Linked DNA regions of Drosophila melanogaster. The protein of the gene in region 2 interacts with the protein of the main gene of each other region in a biochemical or structural test. Each region holds a gene or a part of one and is shown on either strand. Other genes may lie near its edges.

Region 1 (3,631 bases), on a different chromosome or scaffold from region 2:
ACGGAACCATCATCCACGCCACCGATGGACACAACGCATCTATCCTGGGCAGTAAAGCAGATGGCCTGCACAGATACCTTGTGCAGATCGTGGCGAGCGATCTCCTTGCGCTGATCGTAATTCCAGATGATCACATAGCCGCGGAAGCCCATGTGATTGATCTGACCGGAGGCCATGTATTTGCCACTCTTGCTGAGATCCAGGCACGATATGGTGTTCGTGTGTCCGGCCACAAACTCCTGCGTATTCTTCTTGTAGTCGGCGATGCCGATTTTGTTGCCCAGCGCAAAGATGATGGATCCCGTGACCGGATGCTGGCGCACTCCATTCTCCACCTTGCCATTGATGCCGAAGATTGCGCGCGGCAGCAGCTGCCTGCAGACATCGTGCGAGTCTCCCATTTTTCCAGGCTTATAGCAAAATATACGATTCGAAATGTAACATATAAGGGGGTTTTTGTGTCTGTTCTGTGCTTGAAACTTTTTAACCGGCTTGTTTTCTGTTTGAAAACAAGGCAGTTGGAAAATTTAAACAGCGACCGTTGCTTGGTTGCCGCTGTTGTCAAAGGAACTAATATAATGCTAAGGTAAATTGGTTTAAAACTAGTAAGTAATCATCTAGGTGTTTCGGATTCATAATAATTTTAATTTAATTTAATTTTAAGTTTAAAACTAAGTTAACGACATAATAATAGGTAAAGTGGAATATAGAAGAGTCTTAGTGATTATAAATGACTCCAGGGTTAAAACTAGTTTCGAAAGAAGATATTGGAAATGTAGATTAAAAAACTTGATCCAGTTAGTTTATTTAATCAGTCTCCTTCTTTATCTGCAGGGGCACTTGATTCCAGAATTGCTTCAGCTTGGTGATGTTGAGGGAGGAGCAGCTTCGCTGCACGCGATCCTGCATTTCGATCTCCTTCTGGATGAGATCCTCCATGGCGGCGTACTTCTCCTCCTCGATCTTCAAATGCGCCAGCATGGCCATGTTCTGAAATTGATGTGATTTAGCATTATTAAAACATAAAATAAAGCATCCTTTTCCCCATTATAATGATTAAAATGAGGCATACAAGATAGTTTCCATTGGTTCTACAAGTTACCTCTCTGTATTTGGCCTTCAGCTCCTCCAACCTGGCTGTCTTCTGCTCCTCCTCTTCGCTGGTATACTGATTCTCGACGAACATGTGCTCCGGATGCAGCACATGCGGTGGAACGTGGAACACTTTGCTGTCCAGTTCCCTGAGGGCTTTTAGGCCCTTGGAGGCGGATGCCTGGAAACGACGCTCAACGGTCTCCTTCTCGGCTTCCAGCAATTCCGCTGTGGCGGGTGTCTTGATCTTGTCGATGATCTGACCAATACCCTTCTTAATTATGTCCTGCACAATATGTTCGCCTATTTAAAAGGAATTAATGGATAAAGGACGCTGATCCAGAGATATAAGGATGTAGCACTCACGCTCTGCAGACAACTGTGCCGCTGTGAAATTGAAGAACTTCTGATCGTAGGCTAGGCTATTGAAGTCCATTATGACAGTTAACAACAATATTTTTTTTAAATTATATTACAATTAAACTGGATAAAAACGTAAACAATCCAAATTGTCGCGCAATTAGTGTTACCGTTTTCAGAATACAAAGAGATGCTACCACAGCAACAGTGCTGCCATACTTAGCTACAAAATCTAGTTACTAAATTTGGCTACTTATAACTGACTATACAGATGAAAAATATAAAAACAACGCATACACATGCACAATTTCCTAAAATTTTTGACAAATACATTTATTAAGCTTTCGCATTAACGGCACAGTGAAACTCCACAATAATATTTACCTAATATATGGAATAATTCAAATAAACTATATGTTGTTTATTAAAGCTACCTAAAGCATTTGAAATTCAGGAAACTTCCATTAAATTAGTTCAGTGAGAATTTAAAATTACACGCAGATGGAAATTATCAAAGCATGCAAGAATGTATACTTTTCTTAATTACTTGACAAAAATTTTGCAAAACACGTTCACATTTACGGTGCTATTAAGCTCATCGATAATATCTAGCTAGGAAATAATATAAATAAATAAAAAGCTAAATTAAGTTTTGTAAAGTTACCAGAACACTTACAGCATACAGAAATCTTTCTCTGCTTAAAATTAAATTAATTCAATTAATGATTGAAATCAATAACTATGAATGCCCCTACTGTTTTAGTTTTGCTTTGCCGGCTTTGCGAATATAGATAATACAGCGAGAACTGAATAATCAGGAGAGTGCGACACACATAACGGTGCCTATATAAATAGAACACACCACTCTCCTTCAGTCGCTATTTACAGTTAGGCACTGTGCGAGGTTCCAACTAATTAAATACTTCAATTACTGGCAAATTCTACTTGACCCGAACAAACAAAGGAAGCAAATATGCTTTTCATTGGGGGCGTTTTGAGGCCCTTGGGAGTGGGTCTTCTGCTCCTGGGACTGCTTGCGCCCATTTCCGGAATGGGATTTCGACGCGGAAGGCTGACCAAGGGATTCCTCGGGGAGCCCAGCAAGATTCCAACCCTGCAAAGGAGCCTGCACTCGGAGGATCTGTGGTTCGAGCAGCGATTGGATCACTTCAAGTCGAGCGATAAGCGCACCTGGCAGCAGCGATACTTTGTGAATGCCGACTTCTATCGGAATGACAGCTCCGCACCCGTATTCCTGATGATCGGTGGCGAGGGCGAGGCGTCGGCCAAGTGGATGCGCGAAGGAGCCTGGGTGCACTATGCCGAGCACTTTGGAGCGCTGTGTCTGCAGTTGGAGCATCGTTTCTATGGCAAGAGCCATCCCACCGCTGATCTGTCCACCGAAAATCTGCACTATCTCAGCTCGGAGCAGGCTCTGGAGGACTTGGCCAGCTTTGTAACCGCCATGAAGGTTAAGTTCAATCTGGGCGATGGCCAGAAATGGATCGCTTTCGGTGGCTCCTATCCGGGATCGCTGGCCGCCTGGGCACGCGAGAAGTATCCCGAGCTCATCTACGGTTCAATTAGCTCCAGTGGTCCTCTGCTGGCTGAGGTTGACTTCAAGGAGTATTTCGAGGTGGTCAAAGCCTCTCTAGCTGCCTACAAGCCCGAATGCGTGGACGCCGTGACCCGCAGCTTTGCGCAAGTGGAGATTCTACTCAAGCACATGATTGGACAACGCAGCCTGGACGAGAAGTTCAAGTGAGTGGATTAGGCTATCGTCCTGCACAAATTTTAATTTTGTAAACCATTTTATACTCAGAACATGCACTCCCATCAAGGACTCCATTGAAAACGACCTGGACATGGCCAATTTCTTTGAGAATCTGGCTGGCAACTTTGCTGGAGTGGTGCAATACAACAAGGACAACAGTCCCCATGCCACCATCACCATTGACGACGTGTGTTTCATCCTCACTTTGATCCCTATCAAGTCCATACTAAGAATGTTTGAACTCCATAGATCTGCGATGTCATGCTAAACACCACGGCTGGTCCACCTGTGACCCGTTTGGGCCTGGTCAACGATATGCTATTGAAGGAATCGAACACCACCTGCCTGGACTACAAGTACGACAAGATGGTGGCGGACATGAAGAACGTTTCCTGGGACTCGGAG
Region 2 (3,756 bases):
CCTCGTCCCTGCGATCGATCATTGCTTTTAGTTCGAAGACTTTGTGTTTTTGGCGGAACCGGTATATAGTCTTCATTCGAATCATCCGAGGACTGTTGTTTTGGCAAACCTTCGGCCTCATCCATTAGATTTCTACGTAGCAGCTCCCTCTGAATCTCTTCTTCTAGGATAAGCTTCTCTGAACGATGGTTTCTGTGCCCATTTAAAGGATATATCTCGTTCAACGAGTTGCGCTTGCGCAAATCCAAAATCTCGTAGTTGCTCATCCGGGTTAGCTCGCGGGCAAACTGCTCGCCATTAATGGGGGCACTTGGAGCCTTATTCAGCGGTATAGCAGTCTTTCGCGGCTTTGACTTTTTGGCATTGACCGACTTGTGAAGGTTAAGCAAGCGCATAGAGCTCTCCTGAGATTCGATTGTAGCTCGAGCCCGATTACTACTGCGCAAACGCCGTTGCCGGGTTGTGTTCCCACCTGAAGGAGCTAGATTTAATGGCACAGTGCTGGGATGTTCGTCGCTTTCGTCGTCGGTCATTATGGCATCCATATTTTCTTCCACCCGCGGCAGTTGTGCAATGGATTTCTGGGGAGAGGCAGCGGCGGATCGCCTAGGAGAAGGCGCAATCGGTGGTGAAGATAACGCCGTAACTGGCGAAGTCGGAACAGATTTCATTGCGACAGCGTCCCTTCTTACACTACGATTCGAATTGGATGTGTTTATCACCACAATTGGGCTGATCGCGCTGCGCGACAGAGTCTGCACCAACTCTCCCAGATCCTGCGGCTGGGTTTCCGGCACTACGAACTCCGGTTGGGGCTCTGATTGCCAGGCTGGGTCGTGACTTTGTCGCTCTGGCGTGTCCGGGACCATTAACTCCTGATTGAACCGCTTTGCCTTAACTACTGGCATTTTGCTCGGTGTGTCATAGCGATGTGATGGCGATAGCAGCAGCTGGCCTGGAGCTGGGCCCTTTTCCATTGTGTAGGTACGTCGTAGGCCCGCAACGGATGGTGATGACGGAGTAGGGGGTCGCGAGTACGGTGCCCGTCCAGAATAGTCCAGCTGCAGTACATTCTTGTGAAAGGAACTCTGTCGCTCTTTGCAGATTTGTTCAATTTCAGCTGCAAGAATAGGGTTCCTGGCAGGTGAGGTCACCTTTGTCTGCAGCGGATTTTCCGGCTCTGGTTCTTGTGATAGTTCCATAGGTTTTTCCGCTGGTTTATCAGTTTCCACTCTTGTTGTATTTTTGGCAACTTCCTCTTTTTGTTTCTCTGTGCAAGGTGTGCTGCTTATTTCTGGTAACTAAAAGAGCATTGTTGTTAGTACAAGGATTAGGTATTTGTGGGACATGTATTTAACATACGAAGTTTACAGGACTTGATATGCTGCGGGTCAAGTTTACGGTCTCCTCAAACTCTGGAAGCAATTGGCGTCCACAGCTCCTGGACCGCCGGCGGATGGCATGTCGACGTAGTTTATCAGATCCGGGTACATTTCCACTGCGGCGCATGGAACGTCGGTTATTGGGCGACAATGTTGGCGATCGACGCGGAGGCACGTTCTCATTGGGGGCCTGGTCCACAGGCGGCTCATTGACTTTCTCGGTGGCGGCACTGTTTTTGCTGACCAACTCCCCAAGGGGCTGTACTTCTGGTAGTTTGGACTTGGGCTTAGCCTGAGACTTCTTGATCAGTGGAACCTCGAAATCAAGGTCAAAGTCAAGTTTGAAGTTTCCAAAGAGATTGTCATTCTGTGCCGGCTTATTTTCGGCAAGCTTGCGCATCATAAAGGCGGCGAAGCGCTCCTTGTCCTTCACTGGCTGGCTTAGGATGTCGTCCAGCTCCAGAGTGTCGTTGTTCTGGGGCTTCGACCTGAAAAACAGACGGGTGAGCTCGGAGTTTGTATGTTCTCTTGCCTATGGCATGCTCGCGGTGGCAACTTACATATTTGCAATTGAAACTTGAAAAAAGGATTCTTCACGAAGTTACATACACGACAACAATAAACTTAACTTATTTCGCTAAAACTCCACAAAATTTTAAACTACAAAAAAGACGCGACGCTATTCATTTGGCGTTGCCAGTAACGTCTGTAGGCGCGCCTAGGTGGGGTGTTGCCAGAGCGCTCGAATAGACTATCAGAAAAGAGCTATAAATATCTAAAAGTTTCTTTGATAATAATAAGACATCACCCTGTATAATTACAAATGCATGATGCAATCGTTTTTAAACAGTTATTGTTAAATACAGCTGAGTTTATTTCAAAAGTTTTTATTGAAAATATACTCGAAAGCGTTGACCAGCAGGCAACCATTATATGCAGTATTTCATTACTAAAATATACTAAACGCGTAAAACGCAAGCTGGTCACACTTTGCCGGCAATTTTTGTTGACAAAACAAATCCAAAATGTTTAAAGCAAACTAAACCGACTTTTCAGATTGATCTATTTGTTCGAATTCACTTTATAACAACTGGAAGCAGCTTTGAAAAGCAACCAAAAAGTGGAGCTATACATTTTCTGCGAGAAGGCATGCAATAGAGACGCTGTGAAAACGACTTTGCGTTCGAGGTTTTGATTCTGTTGGAAAAGGATTACGATATCCATATAACCAGAGATTGGAGTTTTTTAACTGAATTCATGAATTCCCAATAAGATCCCCTATTCCACAGCACCAATACTCAGTAGTATAAGGCTGGCCAACTGTAATAATGGAGCTTGGATAGCTTCAAAGTGACCGATTGACATGACTTTATAAGTTAGTTATTTATTAAAGGTTATTAAAGATTAGGTATTCGAATGTGTTAGTAATGAAATAAGAAGCAGACGAATGGTTCATTTGAACTTCTTTCCGCCCTTTCTCGTCGTAGGAGCATCCACGCTGGGCACCTGAACGGAGTAATACTTCGTGGAGATCCTGTTAAGGAAGTAGAGCCCCACCAGGGAAAAGAGAACACTGGTGGTGGCGCAGACACGATGCACGAGTCCCGCGGCGGCCACCGTGAGTGAGAGACAGAAAATAATCTCTGGTAGCAGCTTGGCCTGGAAGTCCTGGCCGAAAACAACCATCTCCGCGTTGGAGACGCACGTGAGGCTCAGGATGAACACCCAGGAGAAGAGGTATCCGCCCAAAAGGACCCTCAGCTGCGAGTCGTTAAACCATTCTGAGCAGAAACGCAGTGTGCCGAACAAAACAATGCTCAGGAGGCCCGAGATGATGGAGGATACCACGGTGCTCTTACTGCTCACTGAAGCGGCTGCAAAGGTTCAGAGTTTAGTTTTTGTTGGCCGTAATTTCCTTGCATTTGCTTACACATATTACTTTTTCTTCCAGCCGGCGTCTTTCTTATACGTGTAGTGAATTATCGAACTATCGAAACTGATATTTGATAATACAAGGGATATTCCAGTATGTAACGACTAAACAAAGTTTTATTCGTTAGGCAGGCATTTTTCTCTATTTTTTTTACGTATTTACATGAAAAATTCTCGAATGACAAATTTGTGCTTGCAATAAAAATAAAAACAGATATCGTTATTTAAATACTGACATCGATAATTTTTTTTGAGAAGTAATATTTAAATCAATTGATGTGGCAACGCTGCGGCTTTCGTGGTGAATGACATTTGTAGTAACAACATTACACTTGAGCACAATTTTAATAAATTGTAAATAAAAAACGCCTTCAACATGTCCTTTGTGTTGCAATTGGCCACCAGGACAGTACGAAGTACCATTGCTCAGGTGCGTGGCGTA
Region 3 (3,673 bases), on a different chromosome or scaffold from region 2:
ACCTCACTTTAAAGAGTCAATGTCCTTATTGCCTTAAAATATAACTGAAAATCTGTATAATGAGTGCAGTCTCACAAGGGAAATTAAAACGAATCTTTTAAAAAACATCTTTAAATGTATATTATTAGTTACTTTTTGAGGAAGATCTAGCAAAAATTCGGTTCTTTTTTACACTAATACCATTCCTTTGATTTATACTACGCAATCAAGTATGTATGTATGGGAGTGTGTAAGCACACAGCGATTCTAAGAAATCACTCAAAAAACACATGCATACATACATAAGTTTACACATGTTTAGCTAAAAACTTCGTACTATTTATCGTATTCTTTATAGAGATAACTTGAAATGTATGTATATACATTCAATTTTAAAAGATTTTTTGTCGCCAATACAAACAATTGCTCGTTAATATTATGAGCTTATTGCAATGATACGAATTTAAATAAATTGTGAATGTCAATGACAAATGCATGTGTACATACATATGTATGTACATTAATGAATATGCAGATTAGTTTGTATGAATTTCCATTTTAAGACCCCCCACTCAAATCATTAAGCTCATAGCGTAGTATTTTATTTATTTATTGCATTTAAGTTTGTCAGAAGTCGTTCAATGCTTCGCCTAGTTTAATAAGTTCTGTCTTAACTTTCTCGTACTGCGACAATTGCTGCTCCATTTGGACAGTCAATTTCAGGCGCTTGTCATGGACATGTTGGAGTCGCTCGCGATTGGCATTGCTCTTGGCCATAGCAATCTGTAATTGAAATATAAACAAATGTTAGTTATACTGATAGAATAACAAACCTAGATATGTACATATGTATATGCAAATGATAAACTATAGAAATGAAATTATTAAACTAAAAATCTTCTCGAAGGTTCTTTAACTTTAGGGATCTTTTGGTACACTCAAAACAGTGCAGTAATAGTACAAAGATTAACTAATATCCAAATCGCACCTCAAGTTCTTTTGCCTGAGAGGCCAGTTGCTGCTCCATGAATTCCACGCTGAAGTCCAAAAATCGCATGCGCAGCGGCCGAGTGAGTTTATCGGGTGCTGCAGTGTTCACGTTCCTATAGATTACAATAGAGTAGAGTAGAGTTAGCAATGCAATCGAATCGTATTATGTTTTATGCTGCACATGTACCATTTCTTGCCCTCGTAGGCAGCGAAATGTTCCTTGAGCATTTCCAAAGTTTGCAACTTATTTGGCACATCGTTGCTGGCGAAAAAGCATCGGTTCATTTCGAGCACAACCTTGGTCATCAGACTGCGAGTGCGATCTACGATGCTTTCGGTGTCCAGAGCGGATTGCTCGTGCTCCTGGTAAATGGCATCCCACGCTTGCAGATCTGCGCAGCTAGATATTAACGATTTTTAATATTCGTTATCATGTTAACTATGCCTGCTGCTTACCTCAAGTCGGCAAAGATTTGTTTAATGGCTTCCTCGTAGGCCTGTTTCACCTTTGGTCCCACACCCTCGTGGCGTTTAAATGCGGCTTCCGAATCCTCCATTGAAATAATTTGTTAGTAAATTCAAATTGTAAACAAAACAAAACAATGCCACATTGGTGTGACCAGTTGCAAGTTTCTGCAAAACACCAGGCCGATAGAAATTATAGAGTATGGTGACAACCCTGTTATTGGTTTTTTTTTGAGGTATTTCCACTAGCTCTTATTACTCATAAGTCCCTTGTAACATAAGTGATGTTGAAAATATAAATATATTTCATTCAGCGGTATGGTGAGAATATGTGCCTTTTACATTACAATGTCAAACAAAATGAATAAATACCACCGAACAGTATTTTTAAGAATAAGTGTTAAACCACCGTTTTCAACCATCATATATCGATAGTCCAGGTATCGATGACAGGGTGATACGCCATTTTCCAATTCCTCTCTAACTTTTGTGCATTTTAACTCAGCTCTAGTGTGTTTGTGCTATACATATTTTGAATAATATTTTACCAGCCAGTGTTTAGTGGCGGACAAAATCGTGTTGAATACCAATTGAAAGTTAAGTGATTAAGTTCGGTGGCATCAAAGTCTTCGTAGCTGAAGGAAAACAAAGGCATCCCGATAGGTGAGTTTTTCTTCTACAGTTTTTTTTTATCTTTTGCCTGGGGAAACGCGAATGAAAAGCGAATTTGCGAGGCAAATAAACCAGGCTAAAAGCAATGTGTGTGTGTGTTGTGTGGTCTTGTGTTTTCCTGAATACATTTCTAAGAAAAAGATTCGCCAATACATGCCGATTTTTTATAGCAATATAGTGTGATTTTTAACTACACCCCCAAAATCGTTCTTTTGGCTTCGGCGCTTGAGTTTTACAGTTTTTCTTCCTTTCATTTTATTACAACCACCAGGGCACACAGAAATATTCCTAGCTCTCTCTCGCTCTGCCGCCCTGTTCTCTCTGCCTCTCTCGCTTGCTCGCACGCATGCCGGCTTTTACTTAAAGTACAGAGTCGCATAGTTGTTGTTTTTATAATTGGCCCATCGCTTTAGTCGCTTGTTTTGTTTTTCACATTTGCTGTTTTTTCTTTTCTTTTCGTTTCGTTGCTTCCCTTTTTCTTTTATCTCCACGCGGTTACACCGGTGCATAAATTTCATTATAATTCGCTGAGATAAAATCAAAACAAAATAGTTTCGTTGTTCCGAAAGCAAAACTCCCACGCTACAAGACGAGTTCAACGCTCGTTGGCTTTTTACAAATAAGGAAAAGGCCTAACCTATATTTTATTCATAGTTTTTAGCATCAATCGATGAGGTACGTAGAAAACGGAGAGGCAGAGGAAATGGCGAAGAGAGGCTAATGAGAGAGAAAAATACAAATGGAAGCTAACTGTTGTTGTTTCGCTTGTTGGTTGGGTGCAGCTTATTACCACCTACTTGCCTCCCCCCTCTCTTCATTGCTCCTCTTCTTTTCTCTTTGCCCCCCTCCCCCTCATTAACCCATTGGCATTTGCAGCTTTTTAACAACAGCTCTCTTCTTCTTCCGTCTGCAAATCTTCTCAGCAATTCTGCAACTTTTGCTTTTCGTTCTTTGGCGATTGTGACGAATCTCCTTTGTCTCTGTTTAGATTTCCAGTTTTGCGAAAAAATTCGCTTTTATTTGCCTTTTTTGGCCGAGGTATTTTTCGTTTGTTTCTAGCGTTTATTTCGAGTGAAGCAATTCCAAAGATATTTCGCGGCTATTTGCACGCGTTCGTTGACATTGAACTGAATTCTCACGTAAATGTGTTGAGTTCCAAATTGGTCAGCAAACAAATTGTAAATAGTATTGCTTAAAAATTTAAATATATATTATATTAACAAATCAATAGGCATGACTTGTTGAAAATCTCAGTTGTTTGCTCAATTCTTTTTACAAAATTTCTATGACACCAAATTTGACTTGTAAGATATTTCAGAGACACACCTAAATAGTTCGTTTTGTTTATTCTCTTGGTATTTGTTGCTCCATGGAACTAAAGAGTCAGTCACCTATACTATTCTACCCGCAGATTTCTGGCACTTTCAAATTAACAAGTTAACATATTAAAATCATGTTCATATTGTTTGTTAGTTTTAACACACAGTAAAAAAAAGAATAAATTATAAGAATAATATATGCAATAATTATAGTTAAATACCATGTTTAAAAAACTTTGCTTCTCATA

What was found.
Region 1: the proteins of Cenp-C (region 2) and Mis12 form a complex in vitro, tested with the Drosophila melanogaster proteins (2 studies listed by BioGRID).
Region 3: the proteins of Cenp-C (region 2) and Nnf1a form a complex in vitro, tested with the Drosophila melanogaster proteins (2 studies listed by BioGRID).

Annotation. Positions count from the first base shown.
Region 1 is NT_037436.4:6,967,407-6,971,037, forward strand, and holds Mis12 (Mis12), read right to left. Parts: upstream 1,643-3,631; 5' UTR 1,529-1,642; coding exon 1,459-1,528; intron 1,396-1,458; coding exon 1,103-1,395; intron 991-1,102; coding exon 808-990; 3' UTR 629-807; downstream 1-628. Other genes in the region: CG10064 (uncharacterized protein), read right to left, coding at 1-401; CG9953 (uncharacterized protein), read left to right, coding at 2,426-3,213, 3,275-3,413, 3,476-3,631.
Region 2 is NT_033777.3:8,562,443-8,566,198, reverse strand, and holds the start of Cenp-C (centromeric protein-C), read right to left. Parts: upstream 2,095-3,756; 5' UTR 1,945-2,094; coding exon 1,943-1,944; intron 1,871-1,942; coding exon 1,363-1,870; intron 1,302-1,362; coding exon 1-1,301. Other genes in the region: CG31460 (uncharacterized protein), read right to left, coding at 2,835-3,256, 3,313-3,316; mRpS18A (mitochondrial ribosomal protein S18A), read left to right, coding at 3,691-3,756.
Region 3 is NT_033778.4:20,585,648-20,589,320, forward strand, and holds Nnf1a (Nnf1a), read right to left. Parts: upstream 1,592-3,673; 5' UTR 1,527-1,591; coding exon 1,426-1,526; intron 1,370-1,425; coding exon 1,157-1,369; intron 1,083-1,156; coding exon 968-1,082; intron 763-967; coding exon 607-762; 3' UTR 575-606; downstream 1-574.